3 linked regions of the Canis lupus familiaris genome follow. The protein of the gene in region 1 interacts with the protein of each later gene in a pairwise test. Links are inferred from orthologs where the notes say so. Each region holds a gene or a part of one and is shown on either strand. Other genes may lie near its edges.

Region 1 (8,019 bases):
TAAAATTCACAGCTAGTAGGACACTATGAGGAGCAGCATAGAATTATTTTTCTGTACATGCTCAGGACAGTGGGTTCACTCATAGGTGAAAAGTTTTAGTTTTATTTGAGTTATATGTATTTGAATCCCATTTGCTTTCTTAGGATCTTAGCATGTTAGTCTACTGAAAAATGGTTTGTTTTGTTTGTTTGTTTGTTTTAATGTTTTTGGATGTTGAAACAAAGTTACATTGTCATAAACAGTTTTAAGCAGTTACTCTCAATCACTGTACTTATCTTCCATCCTAGACTGGTAACTGTTCATAGACTGGCACCAATCTGTGGACCACATTTTACATAGCACTGGCTTAGAATTTAGCAGGAAAGTGAGGACAAGGAAGATAGGAGAAAGCCAGTGACTACTTGGAAGGAAAATAGCCAACATTGAGCAATATAGGTTCTATGTTAATTACCTTTAGGTATATTGTGATTCTGTTAGAGAAATCAGACACCTGGTTAATGGTCTAAGGGTTGGCAAACTCTTCTCTAAAAAGCCAAATAGTAAACATTTTAGGCTTCATGGGTGAACTAGTTAACTTTGCCCTTGTAGCGTGAACACAGTTGGAAGTAACATGTAAACAAGAGTGTGGCTGTGTGCCAGGAACACTTTATTTATAAAAACTGGCAGTGGACCTAATTTGGCCCATAGGCCACAGTTGCCATCTCCTGGTCTAAGATACAGTGAATACCTCACAGTAGATCATGAATATCTCAAGATACAGAGTATTAGCAATAAGATTTCCTCCTGTTTCTTAATGCTTTTTTTGAGTTGTCACCTCATTCTCTGATGTCCAGCTAACTACTCTTGGCTATACGGCAAGAATAGCACAAAGCCTAACTAAAAGGACTACAGAAAATGTTTGTAGATCATACTGTACAGATGTCTACTCTCTTCTACAGTAGATGGGCTGATGAATCTTTTTTTTTGGGGGGGGGGCTGATGAATCTAATCTCTTTCTTTTTTTTTTATTCTGAAATTGACCCATCACCTCATAGGAAACCCAGAGGTTCTGTGAACAAATCCATACTGCCATCAAGGAAATCATTACAGTATACTATTCACTTCCCAAGGATCAAGGTAAGCCAATGTATATACAGAAATGTTTGGTTATAGAGTATATCTTTGCTAATATGACAGCTTCTGTCCTGAAACTTTTACCTTTTCCTCAATTTGAGCATGTAATGTAACTTTCTCCCATAAAATGCACTCAAGGGTAATTCTATAACATCAGTGACATCCGTAAATAAGCCTTTATGCTAAGGTATGGATGCTGTATTACCATCTTCCCTGCTTTGCCTGACTGTAAGGCTTTTAATTCTTACTGGCTACCCCATCTCTAACTCATTCTAACGACTATGGATGCTGGATCTATAGGGGCCTCCCCAGTCTCCTCCACCCATATTACATCCCACCCTGTTTCTGAGCTCCCTTACAGGTTAAATGACCTCTGTCCCTGCCCATAAATTAATGCTTTGATTATGATTGTGCCAAAATTATAAATGAATACGTGTCTCCTGGATCTTCAGGGTTAGTCACAGATGGTTTAAACTTCAAGTGTTTCATCCACAGTTATCAAGAGACCATTAACCTTAATGAATATATACATGCTGTCATGGAAAGATTTTGTTTCAGATCTTTCTCATTCAGCACTCAGTGGGAGGAACAAGAAAATGATATGGGGAAATACATAAGACTTGAGTTTTGTGTTGGCACTGCAATTCAAGCATGTGGGTGCATGTTACCTCAAGTTCTAAAGGGCTTAAACTCTTGAGAAAGCAGATGGTGACTTCTGGAAAGAAGACCAGGCTACTTAGTCTTTGGGTTTCTTTAGGAATCACCCTGAGAAAGCTGGTACGGAATGCCACTCTGGACATCGTAGATGGAATGGCTCAACTTGTGGATGTGCTTTTCATAACTCCAGCTCAGAGGTAGTGATGCCATAGTTTGGGTTGTCAGTTAATGGGATTCCTTGCTTCAGGGAGGGGAAAAAACCTCATTTCAACAAGAGTTACTAACAGCTGTGAATGATGACTCGCAGGAAGGAGATTTTTAGGAAAGAAGAACCTTGGTTATTGATATATCCTTATTGATTTCCTTTCTCCAGCCTAGAGAACAGTGACCTTATTTCCTACAACAGTGTCTGGACTGCATGCCAGCAGGTACCTCGAATACCAAAAGGTGGGTAAGAACTGGAAACGGGCCATTGACTCTGCTGGCCAAGGCAGACAGTTCTCTCATATCTCATTTCTAGTTTTGTGACATGTAAGTATTTTACTTTATAGTTTAGTGGAATACATAGAGTTTATCACCAATATCAAAAGAGAAGTATTAATATTTTTTCTTAGTGTTTTTAGTTCTTATACTTTTTTTAGCCCTCTTTCTGTAGCCCTATATAGTTGAACAGATGTGGTTTGTTCTCCTGGTCCTGCCCCAGGAGCAGTATTATGGGACACACTGAAGCACTTAGGAGATAGTGCCAGCTAGATCAAAAACAGTGTTCGTCCAAGAAGACCACAATGAGAAACATCAAGGGACCATTTTGTTTCTTCTTGTGGTGAATGATGAAAAGCTTTTTAACTCCTATCTGAGTACCCAGAGGATGGGTGTTAGAAAACTTTTACTTTAGACCACGCTCTTGTTGACTGTCCTGGGTACTCTCCTCAAATGCGAACACTGTTGGTTGTCATTTGCAGGCTTGACAGAATTTTGAGGTTTCTTCTCTAATTCTAGTGCTTCTGATTTTTCACTCATAGATAACAAAGCTGCAGCCCTTTCAATGCTGACGAAGAATGTGGATTTTGTGAAGGATGCACATGAGGAAATGGAGCAGGTGAGGGGACAACTCCATGATAGATGAGACTATAAAGGAAGGAGATGCCCTGGGCATTGATTCAATAAATCCCATCCTCACTCCTGGATTTCAACTCCCATCTTCTAGCCCATGCCACTGTGTGTTTTAGTACCGTTCCTCTCTGTCCATTACTGGGCTAGGAGAGTAAGAACGGAGTTTAGGAAGTGATTCAAATTGGTGGCCGTTGGTAGCTGGCTTGACGTTTTTGGGATAGCTTAGATATGATGCTGTAAGTATAATAGGCTCTTTTTTTTTTTTCTTTTTGGCATGTCTTAGGCCGTAGAAGAATGTGACCCATACTGTGGCCTCTTAAATGACACTGAGGACAACTCTGACAACAATGGTGATGAAGAGAATGATGGGTTGGGGTATCCAAACAATCGGGACTTATATTGGTCAGAAGAAGATCAAGAGCTCATAATCCCGTGCCTTGCACTGGTGAGAGCATCCAAAGCCTGCCTGAAGAAAATCCGGATCTCAGTGGCAGAGAATGGTAAGAAGGATCAGGTGGCCCAGCTGGACGACATTGTGGATATTTCTGATGAGATCAGTCCTAGGTAAGCAGGATCCCCACTTGAAATGTGAGCATCAGCATATAATATCAGCTTGTGCTGTCACCCCAAGCTTTTCCCAGTTTTTTGAAAATTTTCAACCTACAGGAAAGTTGAAAAAGTATTGCAGTGAACATCCATATAGCCTTCATCTAGATTCACCTGTTGTTCACATTTTTTTTTTCCAATATTGGCTTATTTCTCTATGGATAGATGTGCTATTTTTCTCCTGAACCATTTGAGAGTAAGTTGCAGACATCAATGACATGTCACCCATATATAGTTCAGCATGTATCTCCTAAGAACATTCTTATTATTACATCCAAGAAATTTAACATTGATTACAATAATATTTATTTTTTTTTTTCTATTTTTATTATTATTATTATTTTTTAATTTATTTTTTATTGGTGTTCAATTTACTAACATACAGAATAACCCCCAGTGCCCATCACCCATTCACTCCCACCCCCCGCCCTCCTCCCCTTCCACCACCCCTAGTTCGTTTCCCAGAGTTAGCAGTCTTTACGTTCTGTCTCCCTTTCTGATATTTCCCACACATTTCTTCTCCCTTCCCTTATATTCCCTTTCACTATTATTTATATTCCCCAAATGAATGAGAACATATAATGTTTGTCCTTCTCCAACTGACTTACTTCACTCAGCATAATACCCTCCAGTTCCATCCACGTTGAAGCAAATGGTGGGTATTTGTCATTTCTAATAGCTGAGTAATATTCCATTGTATACATAAACCACATCTTCTTTATCCATTCATCTTTCGTTGGACACCGAGGCTCCTTCCACAGTTTGGCTATCGTGGCCATTGCTGCTAGAAACATCGGGGTGCAGGTGTCCCGGCGTTTCATTGCATTTGTATCTTTGGGGTAAATCCCCAACAGTGCAATTGCTGGGTCGTAGGGCAGGTCTATTTTTAACTGTTTGAGGAACCTCCACACAGTTTTCCAGAGTGGCTGCACCAGTTCACATTCCCACCAACAGTGTATGAGGGTTCCCTTTTCTCCGCATCCTCTCCAACATTTGTTGTTTCCTGCCTTGTTAATTTTCCCCATTCTCACTGGTGTGAGGTGGTATCTCATTGTGGTTTTCATTTGTATTTCCCTGATGGCAAGTGATGCAGAGCATTTTCTCATGTGCTTGTTGGCCATGTCTATGTCTTCCTCTGTGAGATTTCTCTTCATGTCTTTTGCCCATTTAATGATTGGATTGTTTGTTTCTTTGGTGTTGAGTTTGATAAGTTCTTTATAGATCTTGGAAACTAGCCCTTTATCTGATATGTCATTTGCAAATATCTTCTCCCATTCTGTAGGTTGTCTTTGAGTTTTGTTGACTGTATCCTTTGCTGTGCAAAAGCTTCTTATCTTGATGAAGTCCCAATAGTTCATTTTTGCTTTTGTTTCTTTTGCCTTCGTGGATGTATCTTGCAAGAACTTACTGTGGCCGAGTTCAAAAAGGGTGTTGCCTGTGTTGTCCTCTAGGATTTTGATGGAATCTTGTCTCACATTTAGATCTTTCATCCATTTTGAGTTTATCTTTGTGTATGGTGAAAGAGAGTGGTCTAGTTTCATTCTTCTGCATGTGGAAGTCCAATTTTCCCAGCACCATTTATTGAAGAGACTGTCTTTCTTCCAATGGATAGTCTTTCCTCCTTTATCGAATATTAGTTGACAATAATATTTAATATTCAAATTTCCTCCATTTATTTCTAAAATGTATTTCATAGCTTTTTAAAAATTTTAATCCAGGGTTCTATCATGGTGTTACATTGTATTTGATTGTCATCTCTTGCAGTTGTTTGCTTTGGTTGTCTCTTGCAACTATAACAGTCCCTGTCCTTTTTAGTATTTTTTGACATTTACTTTTTAAAGAATCTAGGTCAGTTGTTTTGTAAAATACCCCAAATTCAAGATTCATGTGATTGTCTTTGTCATGATTATAGATTATATTCAAGTTAAATATTTTTTTGGCAAGGATATCATATATTTGAGTGTTTTATGCTTCTCATTGTATCATATTGGAGAGGCATGTAGTGTTAAGTTTCTCCCATTATTGGTGGCACTAAATTTCATCACCTGGGTAAAGTAGTGCCCACCTGAGTGGCATTCCATGGATGAACTCCATTTGCATCAGTTATTAAATTGATGGTTTCAGATTTTCCCTTTTTTAAAAAAAAATAGAGCACCAAAAGCACTGAGCAGGGGAGAGGGGAGGGGCAGAAGGAGAGGGATTAGAGAAGCAGACTCTGCTGAGTACTGAGCCCAGAGAGGTGGGCCTCGATCTCCCATCTCTGGCCTGGCCTTAGAGATCATGACCTGAGCCAAAACCAAGAGTCAGATGCCTAATCCACTGAGCCACCTAGACACCTCCAGATCCTCTCATTTTTAACTGAATTAATCATGTCCTATCATATGGGCCAAGGGAGTTTTTTCCTCCCAGCTTCCTAGTGAAATGGGGTCTATACATGTTTAGTAAATATCAGTTGAATTGATTCTAGTTGCCCAATTTAAGGAATTGATAGGAATTTAAGGGACAGTTATATCCTCACTGGTCACTCCTTAATTGTGTACTGGAAATTACCCAGTTGAGCTTTGTTCCTTTTTTTTGTTAATGATTATTTTTGTTTTCTGCCCTTAGTGTGGATGATTTGGCTCTGAGCATATATCCACCTATGTGCCACTTGACTGTGCGAATCAATGTAAGTACCAACTTTGAAGAAATAGCTAGTGACTCTACTGGTAGGATTTCACTAGCCACTAGTATTTCCTTTAATCTCTAGGGAATATATTTATTTATTACACTTGGATGCGAGTACAACGATAATGTCACAGTTCTTACCTGTATTTCTGTTCGATAAATATTTATAATATTTATAGTTATAATAGCCACGAGTTCTGGTAGTACTCTCTTCTGTAACAACTTGGGTAATCACTTAGAAAAACCCAAAGACCTTAGAAAATGCTACTTTGAAAAGAAAGTCTGAATTACCACAATACTTTAGGATCCTGTTAACCTAAAGTCATTATTCTGATTTCTAGTGTGGGCAAAAATAGTGTCCAGAAACAAAATCTGTTCTAATATAAACCTATTGGATGATCTAACTAGAGGGTCAAACTCTTTGTAAAAATCTGATCTTAATCGTATTCTTTCAAGTCCTGGGTTCTGTGCTAGAGATAATTCTATTTTCTTATTTTTAGAGACTCAGATTATCTGTATAGTTATTGGAAAAAGAGGTAAAACTGCCAAATGGCTTATTATATCTTACATTCAGAATTACCAAATCTAAAAATATTTGATAAATTAGGTAGTGGAAATTAAATTCATCAAATGTATCTTTACAGTATGTAAATACTTTAAAGTAGAATAGGATCCTTTCGGGTGTTAACTTTTTTTTTCACATTCACTTTTTAGAAATTGACTTCCTAAGAAATAACATTTGGCACTATGCCTTGTCAATTACCCCAATAAAAATTTTAAAATTTAAAAATAAAATTTAAAAATTTAAAATATATTGGTGGCATACGATTCCTTCATGTTATCTTGTTATTGGTATGCTTGAAATTCTGTACATAGATTTTTTTTTTAAAGTAACAGCTGTTTGAGCTATATATTTGGAGCTATCATCAGTTGGGGTAAATTCAGGTTATATTCTGATTTTTTCTAGTTTTTTTAAATTTTAAAGTACTAAAACTTTTTTAAACTTATAAAAATATTATAGCAATAATATTAATAAGATTTTGTAAAGAGAGAAGAATCCTATAATCCTACCACTCTAATCCAATCAGAATTTTTGTTTTGGAAGTTTCCTTCAGGGTTTTTGTTTTTAATAGGTTTTTATTACTTGAGTCTTTTAATATATGTTAGCTCTCCTTCCCTTTTTATGTAGGGCTCAGGGTAAGTAACTTCTTTGTTTCTTTTCTAGTCTGCGAAACTTGTATCTGTCTTAAAGAAGGCACTTGAAATTACTAAGTGAGTACGAGGACTTCTCTCCAAATAGCTTTTTTGAGAATAAGCCCATCCAGTCATTCTCAATTCCCAAAGCCCCATTTCAAGAAGTGGAAGAAGGTGGGTGTGGTGTTTTCTTTCCACTTCAGTTGCAGAGCAGCTTAAATTCTACAAAGAAACTTGCCTTGTCTTACTAGTTTTCCTCTATGCTCCCTGGTGAGAGTAGATTTTCCCTGGACAGTATAAATTTAACCTCTCTTTTTTCCTCATTCCACTTGCAGAGTGAGTCATGTGACCCCACAGCCAGAAGATAGTTGGATCCCTTTACTCATCAATGCTGTTGACCATTGCATGAACAGAATCAAGGAACTTACTCAGAATGAACTTGAATTGTGAGTTTTTAGGCTCATTTGTATTCTTTTCTCTCCTTCCCTTACTATCACAGGTAGCCTCTGAAGTCTGCTTTTAAAACAGAGCTAGAATGCTCTCTAGATCAAAAAGGAGTTCCTGTCTATACTTGTTCAGAGACATTATTACCAAAGATTATTGGTTAGGCCAGACTGGCAGTTATTTATAAACTGTATGAGTATGATATATTTTTCTGTGCTAGATAAA
Region 2 (8,019 bases), on another chromosome or scaffold:
ATCTAGCAAGACAGCAAAGACTGATAGAATGAAAGGTACTTTCTCCCGAAGTACTTTAGCAGAGGACAAAAGCACAAGCGAATGCAATAGAAATGTAAGGGTAGAATGTCAGGTTTCAACAAAACAGTTAAGAGACTTCTCTTTTGGGTAAGAACTTTCCAGCTATTCCTTGAATGACATAAGAGTAGCCAAGTAGGGACGCCTGAGCGGCTCAGTGGTTGAGCGTCTACCCTTGGTCATGATCCCAGTGTCCTGGGATCGAGTCCCACATCGGGCTCCCTGCATGGAGCCTGCTTCTCCCTCTGCCTTTGTCTCTGCCTCTCTCTCTCTCTGTGTCTGTCATGAATAAATAAATAAAATCTTAAAAATAAAGAGTAGCCAAGTATTCTTACTATTATTAATAAATAGTTCCTATTTTTTAATCTATAGGATTTAGTATGTGAATTCACATTTTATAAGTATAATAAATATCACTCGAACATGCATGTTTCCAAAGTACTGAGTCATGAGTTAGAGAACCAATCGAATACAGTGTGAGGATCGTGGACTCTGAGTCTAACCTACCTGAGTTTGCATCTGTATCACTGAGGCAAGTTGCTTAAACGTTCTTCCTTCCCTTCATCTGTACAACTGGAGATAATAATATTACCTATCACATAGGGTTATTGTGAGGATTAAATATGACCATACATATAAGCACTTAGAACCTTTCTCGACACATTGTCAATGCTCTATAATTATTAGCAGCTATTATTAGTAAAATATATTTTATTTCCAAATGAAGCAGAAATAGAATATTTGCAATTGGTGAATTATAGATGTGGGGCAGATTTTTATGTTTTCGTTTACCAGGATTTTATAAAAAATATTCAGCATAAAAGGCAGTTCCTGTGAGACTGAGAATCATAATTTGTCCGCCTTTTGCAAAAGGTACATCATGGGTTTGACTACGTGACACTGAATATTTTGTTCTTGTGGAAATGCCAGTTTAAAATTTTTATTTCCAGATTGAAGCTATCCCTAAAGATGACTCTACGTTATCTGAGAGAAGGAGAGAACTCCACAAGGAAGTGGAAGTGGCTAAAAGGAATTTGGCCCAACAGGTTAATGTCAACTCTTATTTAAGCTTCTATCTGAGAATGATTAATAAAGAGTTGTGTTTGTAACTATGCTTCACAAAAGCTCATCAATACTGATCCTTCCTCATGTGGGTCTGTTTCTTCATCTCAGAGACCAAACCCCACATTGAATTTGGGAAAAAAGGATGTGTTTGAACCAGCAAAAATTAAAATAAAAGGGCTATTGAGTATATAATCAGTTTTAAAATAATATATGCTTTATTTCACCAATGTCTAATTCTAGATTTTCAAATTTTATTTATTCAAGCACTGTCAAAAACATGTTTTATGTCTCTTCTTTTTCTTTTTTAAAGATTTAATTTATTTATTCATGAGAGACAAAGAGAGAGACAGAGAGAGAGGCAGAGGGAGAAGCAGGCTCTATGCAGGGAGCCCTGACGCGGGACTCGATCCCGGGTCTCCAGGGTCACGCCCTGGGCCGAAGGCGCTAAACCTCTGGGCCACCCAAGCTGCCCTGTCTCTTCTTTTTCTTAAAGTTACTTGAAAATACAGTCTGATTAAGAAAAACTACATGTTATCATATTTGTACATTCTTTTATAAGATAAATTACTTGGAGCTAAGGCAGTCATTACTTTGTTTTACATCCTAGTAAAATAAATTCTACAAAGGAAATAAAAAAATTAAGGTACTGGCCCTAGTATGTTTCTTCAAAGAAAAAAGTTATAATATGTTGTGCTTTTCAAAAGAAAATCCTATCAGAAGCTGAGACCAAGTTAGTGGAACAACAACTTGCAGAAGAAAATAAGCTTTTAAAGGAGCAAGAAAACATGCGAGACGTTGTCTTCAACCTTGTCCGTATGACTCAAATCAAAATTGATGAGAAGGACCAAAAATCCAAGGATTTCCTGAAAGCTCAGGTAACTGCATTTTTGTAACCATCCATTACTTACCGTAAGAGTTCAGGAGATCCTCAGCTGTACACCGTGTTCGTTAGGAAGCTGTAATTGTATCCTTCAAGTTTGACTACACAGCTTCCCCAAACAAAACTCAATCATACAGTGTGAAAAAGGCTTTCAGGATTCAACTAGCGATAGTCAGCAATCTAGAGGAAAAATGAACTGGGTCAATGACAATGAGCAGAGGATTCAAGCACATGACAACTTCAGTAAGAATAAGGTAGGGACCTTCCAGGGCAGAGCGGACAGTGCACAGGTGGCGGGTCTCTGATTCCCCAGCCGCTCACAAGCCACCAGGGCTTGTCCAAGAACAAATCAAGAGCAGTGGCCTTCGCCTGCTGTCCCTCCCAAGGCCATCAGGCCAGCATTGTTTAGCCCGATGCTAGGATGCCCTTAGTTACTGCTCCAAATCCCTGACTTTACTGGGCTCCCAACAAAGTACCGGAGTTGACCCAGGGCAACATCCCAAACCAAAAGAACAATGAAACCAATGGCAAAAAAAATGACTGTGCTGTCATGCCAGCTAAAATCATTTATTCCACGAAAGGATTATGTTCAGAGGTTTCCTGTTGAAAATGAATGTAATGTATTACTAAAAGAGAATTCCTGAATTTAGCATGGGACCCAGATGTTGGCTGTTTCCGAGGGCAAACTTTGTTTTTTTTTTTTTTTTTTTTAAGATTTTATTTATTTATTCATGAGAGACACAGAGAGGGAGAGAGAGAGAGAGAGGCAGAGACACAGGCAGAGGGAGAAGCAGGCTCCATGCAGGAAGCCTGATGCGGGATTCGATTCTGGGACTCCAGGATCAGGCCCTGGGCTGAAGGCAGGTGCTAAACCACTGAGCCACCCAGGGATCCCGCAAACTTTGTTCTGAGCCAAGCATTTACACAGGGTAGCATTTCTTCTTGGAAAAGCACCTTAAAATCATGGCCTTGGGGGTGCTGGGTGGCTCAGTGGTTGATCACCTGCCTTTGTCTCAGGTCGTGATCCCAGGGTCCTGGGATCAAGTCCCACATCGGGCTTCCTGCAGGGAGCCTATTTCTCCCCCTGTCTGTGTCTCTGCCTCTCTCTCTCTGTGTCTCATGAATAAATAAATAAATAAATTCTTTTTTTTTTTTTAATCACGGCTTCGGCCTCTCACAAAATATGACAATAGCATCTGTCAAAACTAACTACAAATCCCCTCTCCTCAGCTATCCTCCACAGACTCCTCACTTACCCAGCCCGTCTGTGCCATCCACACTCATTCCTAGGCTCTCTCAAAAGTTCCCCAAACTTTTCCTCAAAGCCAACCTGTAGAGGCTCTTTTCTTTCCCTTTTTCTTGTTCTTTCTTGTCCTTAATTCAGTTCAGCTGGGCAGACAGCTTCCAGATCTCTCCCTTACAGTTTCCCCTCAACTGTACAACTCAGCTGGCTAAGACCGACTTCTCCTCCTTACTGGACAGGAATGAGCTAGGGTGAAGCTGGAGTGTCCATATGTTGATGGTGGTGGGCTTTTCTTTCTTTTTTAATTTCACACTTAATTTTCATATTTCAGCAAAGATATACCAACATTGTTAAGGAGATCAAAACAAAGGATCTTGAAATCAGGATACACAAGAAGAAAAAACGTGAAATTCATCGCAGGTAAAAGAATTACATGATGATCTATCTTGTTAGGTGGGGAAAAAATGGATTTTATTTCACAAGTTTCAAAAAAAAAAAAACCCTCATGTTTCCACAGACTCAAAGAGTTTGCTAAATTGTATGACACTATTCGAAATGAAAGAAACAAATTTGTTAACTTACTTCACAAAGCTCACCAGAAAGTAAATGAGATAAAAGAAAGGCATAAAATGTTGTTAAACGAACTGGAAATTTTAAGAAATAGTGCAGTTACTCAAGAAAGGTAAGTGTAATAATAACTATTGTCTTTTCAAAAGTTTCTCTTCTGATTCATTGAACTCTAAAATACCTGGGAATAGTAAAGTAGAAGATATTCATATAACAAAGCTGGAAGAGCCCTTGCTCAAAGATGCTTTACAAATGACACTCTAAGCATCTGAATGCGATTCTGTATGCTTCCACGTTGGATAGCCATATTTTTAAGTGAATAAAAAACCATGTTTGTATACTGTTTTAATTTACTGAATTAGAAAGAAAAGCACAAATCTGATCACTTTGCATTTAAAGTTGGAAGACAATCAAATATTTATTAACCAGCACCCCCTGGATATAGATTTGAAGCATCTACTGTGCTTGTAGGAGGCCGTACAGCAGAGTGGTTAAGAGAGGTAGCTTTCTAGACTCAAATCCCAGCCCCGCAGCTGACTGGCTGCATGCCCTTGGGCAAGCTAACTTACCTCTCTGGGCTCGCTTTTCTTATCAATAAACATAGTCCTTATTTGGGGCATCTGGGTGGCTCAGTCCGTTAAAAGTCTAACTTTGGCTCAGGGCGTGACCTCAGGATTCTGAGCCCTGCATGGTACTCCAAGCTCTGCACTCGGCAGGGAGTCTGCTTGACCCTCTCCCTCTCCCCTTGCTCGTGCTCTCTCTCTCAAATAAATTACTGCAGTAGCCCCTCTTATCTACGAGGGATACATTCAAGACCCCCAGTGGCTGCCTGAAGCCACAGATACTACTGAACCCTAAATATTCTATGGGGTTTCCCCCCTACACATACATACCTATGATAAAATTTAACCTATAACTCAGGCATAGTAAGAGGTTAATAATAACTACTAATAAAGTAGAACTATTATAGCAATATACAGTTAACTCTTGAACAACACACGGGTCACAGGGGGCCAATCCCTGTAGAGCACTTAACTACTAATAACCTCCTGCTGACCAGGCACCAGTTGATTAGCAAATATTTGGTGTGTTATATGTATTATATGCTGTATTCTTACAATAAAGTAGGCTAGAGAAGAGAAAATGTTAAGATGATCATAAAAAAAGAGAAATACGTTTACAGCACTGTGCCGTATTTGTCCCAAAAAATCACATTATAGGTGGACCCACGCAGTTCAAACCTGCGTCGCTCAAGGGTCAGCCGTACTGGAATTCGTTATGTCAATGTGGTCTCTCTTCCTGTCCCTCAAAGTATCTTCACGTACTGTACTCACCCTTCTTGGGGTGCTGGGAGGTGACAAACGCCCAGGTCCCCGCGTGGACTACGTACTACTCCTGTCGTTCTGAGGGACAGACTACAGCCCCAGAGACTTTGATACTTTCTGAAGTCTTCATTATTTTTAAAGTAATCAAAGGAAACGATCATCTTCCCCGTTTTCCCATTATTTTTAAAGGAAGCTCCAAAATTCCATGCTGAAACATGCCAACAATGTTACCATCCGTGAAAGCATGCAAAATGATGTGCACAAAATTGTAGCAAAACTCCAGGAAATGAAAGAGAAGAAGGAAGCCCAGCTGAATAACATCGACAGGCTGGCCAGTATGATCACCACCGTCGAAGAGGAGATGGTGCAGCTGCGCAAGAAGTATGAAAAAGCTGTTCAGCGTCGAAATGAAAGGTAAAAAGCCAGGAATCTGGGGGATCCCTGGGTGGCTCAGCGGTTTAGCGCCTGCCTTTGGCCCAGGGCATCATCCTGGAGTCCTGGGATCGAGTCCCACGTCGGGCTCCCGGTAGGAAGCCTGCTACTCCCTCCTCCTGTATCTCTGCCTCTCTGCCTCTCTCTCTATCATGAATAAATAAATCTTAAAAACAAAAAAAAAAAAAAAAAAAAAACAGGAACATCATGTGAGCAATGAAACCCAGAGATCCCATTTAGGCAGGTTGCCTGCCCCTTTTCCTCTCTAGACTTGATGGTGGGTAGTGGGGGGCATTTGACGTTTTGGGTTCACTCGCCTCTTGTGGGGGTGCAGGGGGGGGTGAGCTGCGTGTGTGGCCTGAAAATAAGAAGTTGTTCTTTTAAGAGAGAGACAGGCAAGAGTAGGCTTTAGGTGGGTGTAGGTGGCTCACTCAAAGATCAGGGGTCTTCCCCAAGCTACCCTTCAGGCTGCCCCTGATACCAGCAAGTTATTTCAGTATAATCGACATAAATAAGTCTTCGGATCTTGTAACCACCTTTGTGACAGGTTTGGTCCTAGTATGATATTTGTCAAGTAATTCTCCCAACTCGCTTTCTCAGCAGGTAAGACTCTTCGAAGAGCATTATTTTTTGCAGGCTACGGTTATGTTACTCACAGTGACTGCTGTAGCGGGGTTCCCAAGCTGCCTGAGCTATGGGGAGCTCTAAGTGAGATTGTAGGGATTGCTTCTGGCCTCATCGTGGCTTGACTGTGGGCTGCTCCACGTGAAGCCACATTCTAAGCATTGGACCCTACAAGCACAGAAAGGTGGTAAATCATTGCTGCTGGCTTCTGTTGTCAGGAGAAATGAGAGGATCCCCAGAAGAGCCACTAAAATGGCAGATGAAATATAATAATCTTAACATTAAGATTAAGCAAATCCAATTATGTGTCCACACACTATAAGGGAAGAGAGAGAGAAAGAGATAAAAGCAACTAAAGATGAACTCTGGGATAATGGCTATGCAGAGTGTGGGAAGAGCTTCAGGGTGCGAAGGACACTACTTTTTCAAACTACTGGCAGGTGTTTTCTCTGAGAGAGAGGGGAAAAAAGTGCTCTTATTTGGCTCTCGGCACAAAACAAATTATTTAGGCAGTATGTTTCCCAGGCCCTGGTCAGACCTGTAGGGCTGGAATTGGAAAATTCTTACTTTGTTTCTTTCCCACATTCTCCTCACATGGAGGGGTCTTTCCCCTGGCGTGATTACAAAGGACAGAGCTTTGCCTGTTTAGGGGGAAATCTGCATCAAAAATATTCAACTTAAAAAAAAAAAAAAAAAAAAACCCTAATAGGCCTGGCAAGTTCCATAGAATCACTGCAGAAACACATTCCCTGGCCCCCTGCCTGGGTACTTCTGGCCAGACCTCGGTTGGCAAGCCGGGCCCAAGAAACGGGTCTGCAGAAAATCAGATTATGGGGTCACTTCATTCATGCATGGGGAATGACATTTTTTTCCCACCCTCAGAAAGCCTTTGGGACTTGCAGAGATACTGTGACCAGCCAACTGCATGATCAGCTCAGAGCAGAGACACTAAACAACCCTCCCTCTCATATCCCCAGGAATACTTAAAGTGTTTAACTAGAGAGCAGACAGTAAATATCTATTGTCTTCTGGAATTCCGTAATGTTGATGTTTTGTGCCCAAATCCAGAGGGAATTACCATAAGTCTCAACTTCCTCTTAGCCTCTGCCTCTCCTTTTGGCCATAGTGGTGTTCAGCTGATACAGCGAGAAGAGGAGGTGTGCATCTTTTATGAAAAAATAAATATCCAAGAGAAGATGAAACTAAATGGAGAAATTGAAATACATGTCCTGGAAGAAAAGATCCGATTCCTGAAACTGAAGATTGCTGAGAAACAAAGACAAATTCACGTGACCCAGAAATTATTGCCAACCAAGAGGGCCCTGGATGCTGACTTAGCAGTGCTGCAAATTCAGGTGGGGGAAACATTCATCAGACGCTTCCTGGGGCCATTTGCCTCCCCTCACTTTATTGGTTTGAAGATCATATCAAGTTCTTACATGTAAACTGAGCCAGGCCCTTCCTGGTACCTGTACAAACCCATGAGTTACGTGTCTTCTTTAAAACTGCCTCTGCTCCAGGGCACCTGGGTGACTCAGTCGGTTGAGCGTCATACTCTTGATTTGGGCTCAAGTTATGATTTCAAGGTCATGAGGTCAAGCCCCACTAGGGCTCTGTGCTCAGTGGGGAGTCTACCTGAGATTCTTTCTCTCCCTCTGCCCCTCCCCCCCAGCTTGCTCTCTCTAAAATAGATAAATTAAAAAAAAAATTCTGCTGCTCCAGGTGGAATTTATGTTTCAGGAATGCAGGCTACAGATGGTTCCCCATGAAGCATTTTCTGCCTTCCTTGGAATTTAAGCCCTCCCGAATCTCAGCACTAGCTTCCT
Region 3 (8,019 bases), about 25 Mb from region 1:
AATAATCCATATTACGATAGAGTTATTAGGAAACCATGTTAGTTTTATTACTAGTTACTTTAAAAATATACAAGGTTAAAAAGAGTTTAGAGTTGATAGCAGTACACTTTTAGCCAGGTCTGAATTGAGAACCCTAGTAACATTGCTAAGACAGTTTGTTTGCACCACCTCTGGTTCCTTCCCCCATTCACTCTTTTTCCAATTCCAGGACCAGCTGACTAAAAATCAAATTTCCAGGTTATTGAGGAGCTATTATTGTATTGTTTTGGGTATTTGATGCTATATGTAGATAAATATAACTGAATGTTCTGTATCTGTATGGAGCTTGAGAAAAGATTAGGGACTCTCTCTGAGGAGAAAGGGAGCTCTCAGGAGCACTGTACACTATCAATATTTTGCTTCATGAGACTATGATTATTATTTTCCATAAGTGTTAATTTTGCATTCTTGTTTTTTTAATCCAAATGTATTTTTTAAGCTGTTTAACTGAAGTGTAACAAATATGCAGGAAAGCGCACAAATATTGTCATTGTCACAGACTGAACAAGTATAACCACTAAGATAACTCAAAGAAATAGATCATTGCTAGCAACCCAAAGGCCCCTATATCACCTGAGGTGCAGCCTTCTCTCCTCCTCAAAGAAACCAAGTTTGCCTTTTTTTTTTTTTTTTTTTTTTTTTAGCTTCATAAATTGGAATCCTTATGTAGGCATTCTTGCATCTGGCTTCTTTGATCAACATTATATGTGTGAATTCATCCCTATTGTTGCATATAACAGTAATTTGTTTTCATTATTATATAGCAGTCCATTGTATGAATATGCCAAAAAAATTTTTTATCTGTTCTACTCTACTTGGACACTTGGGTTGTAACCATTTGGGGGCAACTATAAGTAATGCTGCTATGAGCATTTTTGAACATGTGCACTTTTTTTTATATGTGCACACATTTCTGATGTATATACTTAGAATTGCTGGGACATAGTATTTTGTTGAACTTCAATAAATTACTCCCAAGTATTTTTTTAAAATAGTGGTACCAATCCACACTTTATCAGCAGCATATGAGAGTTTACATTTTTCCTCATTCTTGCCTTCACTTGGTTTTTCAGACTTTCACATTCGAGTCCTTCTGCAAGGTGTACTGGTGGTTTACTTTGCATTTCCCATTTTGTAAATGAAATTAGTAAGGGAACACTTTTTCAAATGTTAATTGAACATGTGGATAGCCTCTTTGGTGATATGCCCTTTCTTATAGTAGATTACCTTACTCTTGTCGATTTGGGGCTCTTAATAAATTGGTCAGTTAAATATGTTTCAAATCTCTTCTCCCAGTGTGGCTTGCCTCTTCACTCTTAATAGTGTCTTTTGATGTACTGAAATTCTTAATTTTAATGTAGACCAACTTAGCGCAGCCCCGGTGGCGCAGCGGTTTAGTGCCACCTGCAGCCCGGGGAGTGATCCTGGAGGCCTGGGATCAAGTCCCACATCGGGCTCCCTGCATAGAGCCTGCTTCTCCCTCTGCCTGTGTCTCTGCCTCTCTCTCACTCTCTCTGAATGAATAAATAAATCTTAAAAAAGCCCATCCCTGTTTAAAAAAAAAAAAATGTAGACCAACTTACCAGTATCTTTCTGTTTAATGTTTAAAACATTCTATTATGTTTTGGATCTGCTTCACTAGGTGTTTATCGATTTTTATTAGTCTTTTCAAAGAATAAACTGCCATGTTGTCTTCTCTCTGGTATTTTTTTTCCATTATTTTCTATCATTCATCCTTCTCTGTACTTATTTCTTCAACTTTGATTTTTTAGTTGATAGGTTAGATTTATATATTACTGAGGTAAGTGATTAATAGAGATCTTTTCATATCTGTTTTTCCATTAAACTTGTTAAAAAGTAAAAACTTCACTCAAAGATATCTGTACATATTCATGCAAAAAAATCTTAAAAATAACCTACTTATGTGAAGACAAAACATTAAATTACCAAATACTTCCATTTTTGCCCAGCTGCTTAAATTTTTTTTTACTTTTCCAGTATTTTCAAATTATTTTTGTAAGACTTCATTTTGTTTAGTTTTAGGTTCACAGCAAAATTGAGGTGACTATAGAGAAATTTCCCATATTCCTACTGCCCCCACACATACATAGGTACCTCCAATATCATGATCCCCACCAGAGTGGTACATTTGTTAGAACTGACGGAAAAAAAAAAAAAAAAAAAAAAAGGAACTGACGAACCTACACTGACATATCACTATCATCCAAAGTCCATAGTTTACATTACAATTCACTCTTGGATCCTCTATTTTTAAAATTTTTATTTACTGTTCTCTTTTAACTTCTTAACAAGTTAGATTGGATCATGGGGCTCATAATTTTCATATAAATGGTCAAAGGGGCATCTGAGTTTCACATGCTTATTTCCTAATTGTAGAATTCCCTAGAGTGGTATTAATAGAGTAAAAATTGACTCCTGAAATGAGAATATATTAGAAATATTTTGTGGAATAGTTTTTTATGTGATGTTAATAATCTCAATCTAAATTAAGCCTTATTTTTTATACTCTTCTATGTATATAAGACTATAAATTCCCTTGTAAGCATGGCATCAACTGTTGCACAAGTTTTTGATACAGAATATTATTATTTAGCTTAAAATACCTTTTTATTTTCACTGTAAATTTCTTTTATCTTGGGTTATTTAGAAGTAGATTTTTAAATTACCAAACCTACAGGCATTTTGTAGTTCTATTTTTGTTGTAGATTTCTAGGTCATTTACACTTTAGCCAGAGAATATACAGCATATGAATTTAATCCTTTGAAATGTATTGAAATTTGTATTAGGCAAAACATAGGTCAGTTTTTGTAAATATTCCATATGCACTTGAGGTGAATGTTCTGCAGTTGAGTACAGTGATCCATATGTGTCTATTAATCATGTTTAAAAAAAAAATCATGTTTAGATGTTCTATCCTTATGGAATTTTGTCTACTTAACTGTATTAAGTAATACTGGGAGAGGCATGTTAAAAATCTACCACTCTGATTTTGAGTTTACATATTTGATCTTCTAACAATTTTTGTATTATGTAGTGCTAACATAGCAACATCAGCTTTCTTTAGGTTAGTGTTGGCATAGTACATCTTTTTATATCCTTTTATTTTCAGTCTTTCTGTATCCTTAGAGTTTTGGCATTATCCTCCTATGGTTGCCCCTTTGAAGAAAATGTTACCTTTTTCCTGCCACTGCTTCTAATTTTTTCTCTGTCTTACTGTAAAGTGCATAGGTATGGCTTCCTTTGTTTTTACTTTGATAAATACAAATAGTGCTTTTGTGAAACCATATCTTAATGTCTTCTATCCATTTTGGTGAGTTTTCAGATATTATTCAGATAGTGCTTCTATCTCATTTTCTCTCTTTTCTTCTGGTACTACAATTAATATCATATATAATACTTTTTCATCTTCCCTACTTTGTCTTGTCACCTTTTCTATATTTTCCAAACTTTTGTCTCTCTCTGCCTCATTTCAAATATTTTATTTTGGCTTATGTTCCAGTTGATAAATACATTTTGGAAATTCTGTTAATGTGACAAAGTAATAATTGAGGTACCCAGGTAGCTCAGTTGGGTAAGTGTCTGCTTTTGGCTCAGGTCATGACCCCCAGGGTCCTAGGATCAAGCCCCACATCAGGCTCCCTGCTCAGTGGAGAGTCTGCTTATCCCTTTCCCTCTGTTGCTCCCCTCACTCAGTGCTCACTTGCATGCTTGCTGTATCTAGCTCTCTCAAATAAATCTTTAAAAAAAAAAAAAAAGAAGTAATAATCAGATATGTGCACAAAAGATTTATGTCTAAAGATTTCCAATATAGATTGTTTTAATCAGTTACAGTATATCTGTACAAAAGATTGTAAGCAGCGATAAAAATTATGTAGAATATTGAATAGCATAGAAACATATATTTTTAAGATTTTATTTATTTATTTGATGGAGAGAAAGAGAGCACAAGCAGGGGGATCTGGAGGAGAGGGAGAAGTAGGCTGAGCAGAAAGCCAGGTCATGACCTGAGCTGAAGGCAGGTGACTAACCAACTGAGCCACCCAGGTGCCCCAAAACATGATATATTAGAGAAAAAACAAAACTATACAACAGATGATCCCAATAAAAAAACAAAACACATAGAAAAGACCAAAAAAGTTCCAAAATACAAGGTTATTAGCTATGAATAAAGAGATTATGGGTAAATTTTAGTTTATTTTTGCTTCTCTGTATGATGCAAATTTTTCTTAGTGATAAAAGGTATCTTTGTTCTAATGGAAACAAGTTATTTTTTAAAGCCTGATTCAATTTCTAAAATGCCATTTGTTTTTTCAGGAATAAATTGTTTTGTAAAGAAATATGTCCTTATTCTAGACTTTCATAATGCTTGGCTTAGAAGTAGTTACAGCCAGTGGAAATAGGTCATAATTTTATAAACACGAATCCTCAGTAGGATTAGGTATAATTATTCCTGTTACAAAGGGACTCTTCACAAAAGTTTTTCACAAAGTTTCTTTAAGCTGGGTCTTAGTAGCCTATATTAGGTTTTCTAGAATAATGCTACTGCTATGATATCCAATAACTTAATGCTAATAGTATTGATTTAGGGGAAAATAATGAGTTGTAAGCAAATAATAACAGATTTCCTTTTAACCAGAATGCTTAGCAATTTGTGATTTGCATATAGTAAAAAAAAAAAAAAAAACAGCATGGCAGTGTTCTTAAGAACTTGGACTTTGGAGCCAGCTTGCCTGGGTCCAAACTCCAGTCTTCCTAATATGTGACCTTGAAAACTATTGTTTATACTCTTTTACAACTCACTTTTGAAAGATAAAACCGCACTAGTCAGGACTTGCCTTTAATATAGTTCTCCTCTGGTTTATATTTTTAGATTACATGTGAAAATGAAGTTAAACAAACACAAGTCCCTGCTAATAATCTATCTTATAGTGTCACTTCAGTACCTACTCACTGTGAAGAAGGCCCAGTGCATAAAAGTACACAGTTGTCTCTGAAAAGGCCCCCTCACCGGAAGTGTTGGTATGTTTTGACTCTTCAACTGATTGATAATTGAATTTGTCTTTTGTACATGAAAGATAAATGACAAGCAAAATGTAATTCACAGGCAGTTGTGTTTTTTCTCTTTCAGGTATTCAGGCCAAAGTGAAAGTGTTTGGAACACAACTGTGTAATGCCACTACTCAGACTGACGGATTGCAGCCTAGGAGGAGCTCTCTCTTTGACATCTACTCCAGTGACTCAGACCCAGATGCAGATTGGGATGTCAAGAGTGAGCAGAGTGATTTGTCCTACATAGCAGTGCAAGTGAAAGAAGAGTCTTGCTAAAAATGCAACATCAAATGACTTGATGTGCTATAGATTTTCAAATCTTCGCTCACATAATTATTTCTTTGCCCTTGTAAATCTTTCACTTTGGGATACTTGAATATCAGCAAAATGTGTTTAGCTCTAAGGCAAAAATATGCCCACCTGCCAAGATCATGAAGATTATCCTGCCCACAAACCTCCCCACCTCCCACTTTCACCTCGTTTCTTTTTTCTTTTTATCCGTTTGGTGGATATCGAGTTATAAAACAAAACCACGGTAGCAGCATTTCCAGATCAAGATTAAGCACTGAATATTTAAGCTTAATGCAGAAGCAGCATTCATATGGGACTTATTTGACATTCACAAGTTAGAATGTCACTATCCTAAATAATTTGAAGATAATAGTAATCACAGCCAAGTCTGATACTATTAAATGATTTGGGAGCCAGGAGACTCATCCTTGATTATTACTTTTTTATGTTGTATATTTATTAGTTTGTCCATTTGTAATACTGTTGGATCTGTGAATCGGTCCTTGTGAGCATTTCTGGTGAAGTTATGGCTCTTACAGAAAATTTTCAAAGGGAATTAATTTAAATAGAGATAGAGTTTCATATACTTGGATTGCATTATTAATGAAATCTATTTGCATTGGTTCCTATTACAACAAACCAATTAGCTTGATTAATTTAGATTGAAATTCTTGACATGGAAAAAGAAAGTATTATATTTCTAACATATTCCTTTTCAAGAATTAAGTTTTCCTCTATTAATACCTTTCTGTTGAATTCTACATTTGGGAAATAAGCATGTGAAACAGCTGTCCCACCTGCCATTCACCAGGAAAATTTCTATGGCAACTCTGTACCATGAAGTAATTTGTTACAATGGTTTCTGAGAAACTTATTATAACTCTGATCTTCTATTGAGAATAAAAATAAATGTCCATTTTGTACCTCATCTTGTTAGTTGTGCATGATTGGAAGAACTTGCATGCATTTTATTCTAGAAGGTTTAAATAATATACCAAAGTGATTTTCTTCCTAATTTCATGTGTGACTTAATTTGAACAGTGTAATTTTAATAAAAAGAATAATAAAATAAAATATTAATAAAAGTGTGAGCCTGAACAATGATTATGTTCACATAACACATAACACATAACAGTATTTTTAAGTATATAAATCTTCTGAAGCTAAATACTATCAGTAAGTACCTATTGTCTCTTGAGTTCTTAAACAGCCTATTGCCTTAACTCAAGTTATAATGAATGTTATATGCCCTTTATCTCCAAATTTCACTGCCATAAGTTTACTTCATTTCTATATGTTAAACAACTTTGACAGCCATAACTTCTCTTCCTTCCCTTCTTCCCTTCCTTTCCTTCCTTACTTTTTTCTCTCTGTTTCTTTCTATTCAGTTAGGGTTTTTTTCCTCTTACCGATTGAGAATTTGTTTGGTTTGTTGACTCACATAATTTTATAATGTACAATGTTTCACTGTCCTAAAGTAAAATGAAATACTGGTTTTTAAAAAATTAAATATGAGGGGGCAGCCCGGCTGGCTCAGTGGTTTAGCGCCGCCTTCAGCCCAGGGCGTGATCCTGGAGTCCTGGGATCGAGTCCCACATCAGGCTTCCTGGATGGAGCCTGCTTTTCCCTCTACCTGTGTCTCTGCCTCTCTCTCTCTCTCTGTGTGTCTCTCATGAATAAATAAATCTTTTTTAAAAAGTTAAATATGAGGGACTTATAGTTTATATGATACTGATTACTTTTTACATATTTTCAGTTATCTTCATTTCTTTTGTTGCCACATGAGTTTAATGGGAAAAAAATGTGATATACCTCAACACCTACCATATTATTTTTCATTTGTTCATTTAATAAGTGTTTATTAAACCTACTCTGTGCCAGATAACTATTCTAGACACCAAGGATACATTGGTGAGCAAGACAAAGCTCCTGCCCTCTTGGTGGTTACCTTTGGAGGGGAGCCAGACAATATACAAGGAAATGAGTGAATAATTTTAGACAGTGATTAGTGCTATGAAGAAAACAAGGCAGAGTAAGATGTTAGGACATAATTGGGATTGGGAAGAGGGTTGGCTCTTCTTGGTAGGATAATCAGGAAAACCCTCTCTGAAGATACAATAATTGACCAGAGACCTAGATGATCAGAAAGAGCAGCATTCCACGTAATAGAAATAGCAGGCGCTCTGGTATTTGAGGAACAACGAGGCTCAGGTGGCTGGAGATAATGAACTAGGTGAGATTGGAGTGGTATACAGGACCAGACCATGTAAGGCATTTGCTGTCACTATCAAGAATTTTTATCTTGTTCTAGGCTTAAATTCTATTTTAAATGTGTTTTATGGCTGGCTTACCTGCCAGTATTTATGTCTTATACTGAAAAAACATAATGGGATTCACACATAAAATCACTGGACTTGAGGCAAGAGAAGAGAACTATGTCAAGTGTATGTGAATATAAAGCTTGTTTGGTCAAAAATATTCCTCTGGGAATTCTGGAGAAATTATGGTAGTGATGATGTCATTTTCTTTTAAATCTCCCCAAATTTCCCCATGGAAACAAATAGAGCATTTATTATTCTGTTAGTGGCAAGGAAGCTTGTATCAGATTAGCCTTCCTG

The links. The genes of interacting proteins can lie anywhere in the genome.
Region 2: the proteins of CCNDBP1 (region 1) and CCDC146 interact in binary tests that used the Homo sapiens proteins (3 or more experiments, as listed by UniProt). The two-hybrid records come from large-scale screens. The link is inferred for Canis lupus familiaris from reciprocal best matches to the Homo sapiens genes CCNDBP1 and CCDC146.
Region 3: the proteins of CCNDBP1 (region 1) and THAP10 interact in binary tests that used the Homo sapiens proteins (3 or more experiments, as listed by UniProt). The two-hybrid records come from large-scale screens. The link is inferred for Canis lupus familiaris from reciprocal best matches to the Homo sapiens genes CCNDBP1 and THAP10.

What each region holds. Positions count from the first base shown.
Region 1 is NC_049251.1:10,349,985-10,358,003, forward strand, and holds part of CCNDBP1 (cyclin-D1-binding protein 1), read left to right. Parts: intron 1-1,034; coding exon 1,035-1,116; intron 1,117-1,870; coding exon 1,871-1,967; intron 1,968-2,143; coding exon 2,144-2,217; intron 2,218-2,792; coding exon 2,793-2,869; intron 2,870-3,166; coding exon 3,167-3,447; intron 3,448-6,096; coding exon 6,097-6,157; intron 6,158-7,381; coding exon 7,382-7,428; intron 7,429-7,685; coding exon 7,686-7,800; 3' UTR 7,801-8,019. UniProt on the Homo sapiens protein: May negatively regulate cell cycle progression. May act at least in part via inhibition of the cyclin-D1/CDK4 complex, thereby preventing phosphorylation of RB1 and blocking E2F-dependent transcription.
Region 2 is NC_049239.1:17,666,622-17,674,640, forward strand, and holds part of CCDC146 (coiled-coil domain-containing protein 146), read left to right. Parts: intron 1-1,007; coding exon 1,008-1,103; intron 1,104-1,826; coding exon 1,827-1,997; intron 1,998-2,030; exon of another isoform or gene 2,031-2,504; intron 2,505-3,576; coding exon 3,577-3,665; intron 3,666-3,762; coding exon 3,763-3,927; intron 3,928-5,326; coding exon 5,327-5,551; intron 5,552-7,319; coding exon 7,320-7,548; intron 7,549-8,019. UniProt on the Homo sapiens protein: Essential for sperm flagellum biogenesis and male fertility.
Region 3 is NC_049251.1:35,006,968-35,014,986, reverse strand, and holds the end of THAP10 (THAP domain-containing protein 10), read left to right. Parts: intron 1-4,931; coding exon 4,932-5,074; coding exon of another isoform or gene 5,075-5,080; intron 5,081-5,169; coding exon 5,170-5,386; 3' UTR 5,387-6,329; downstream 6,330-8,019.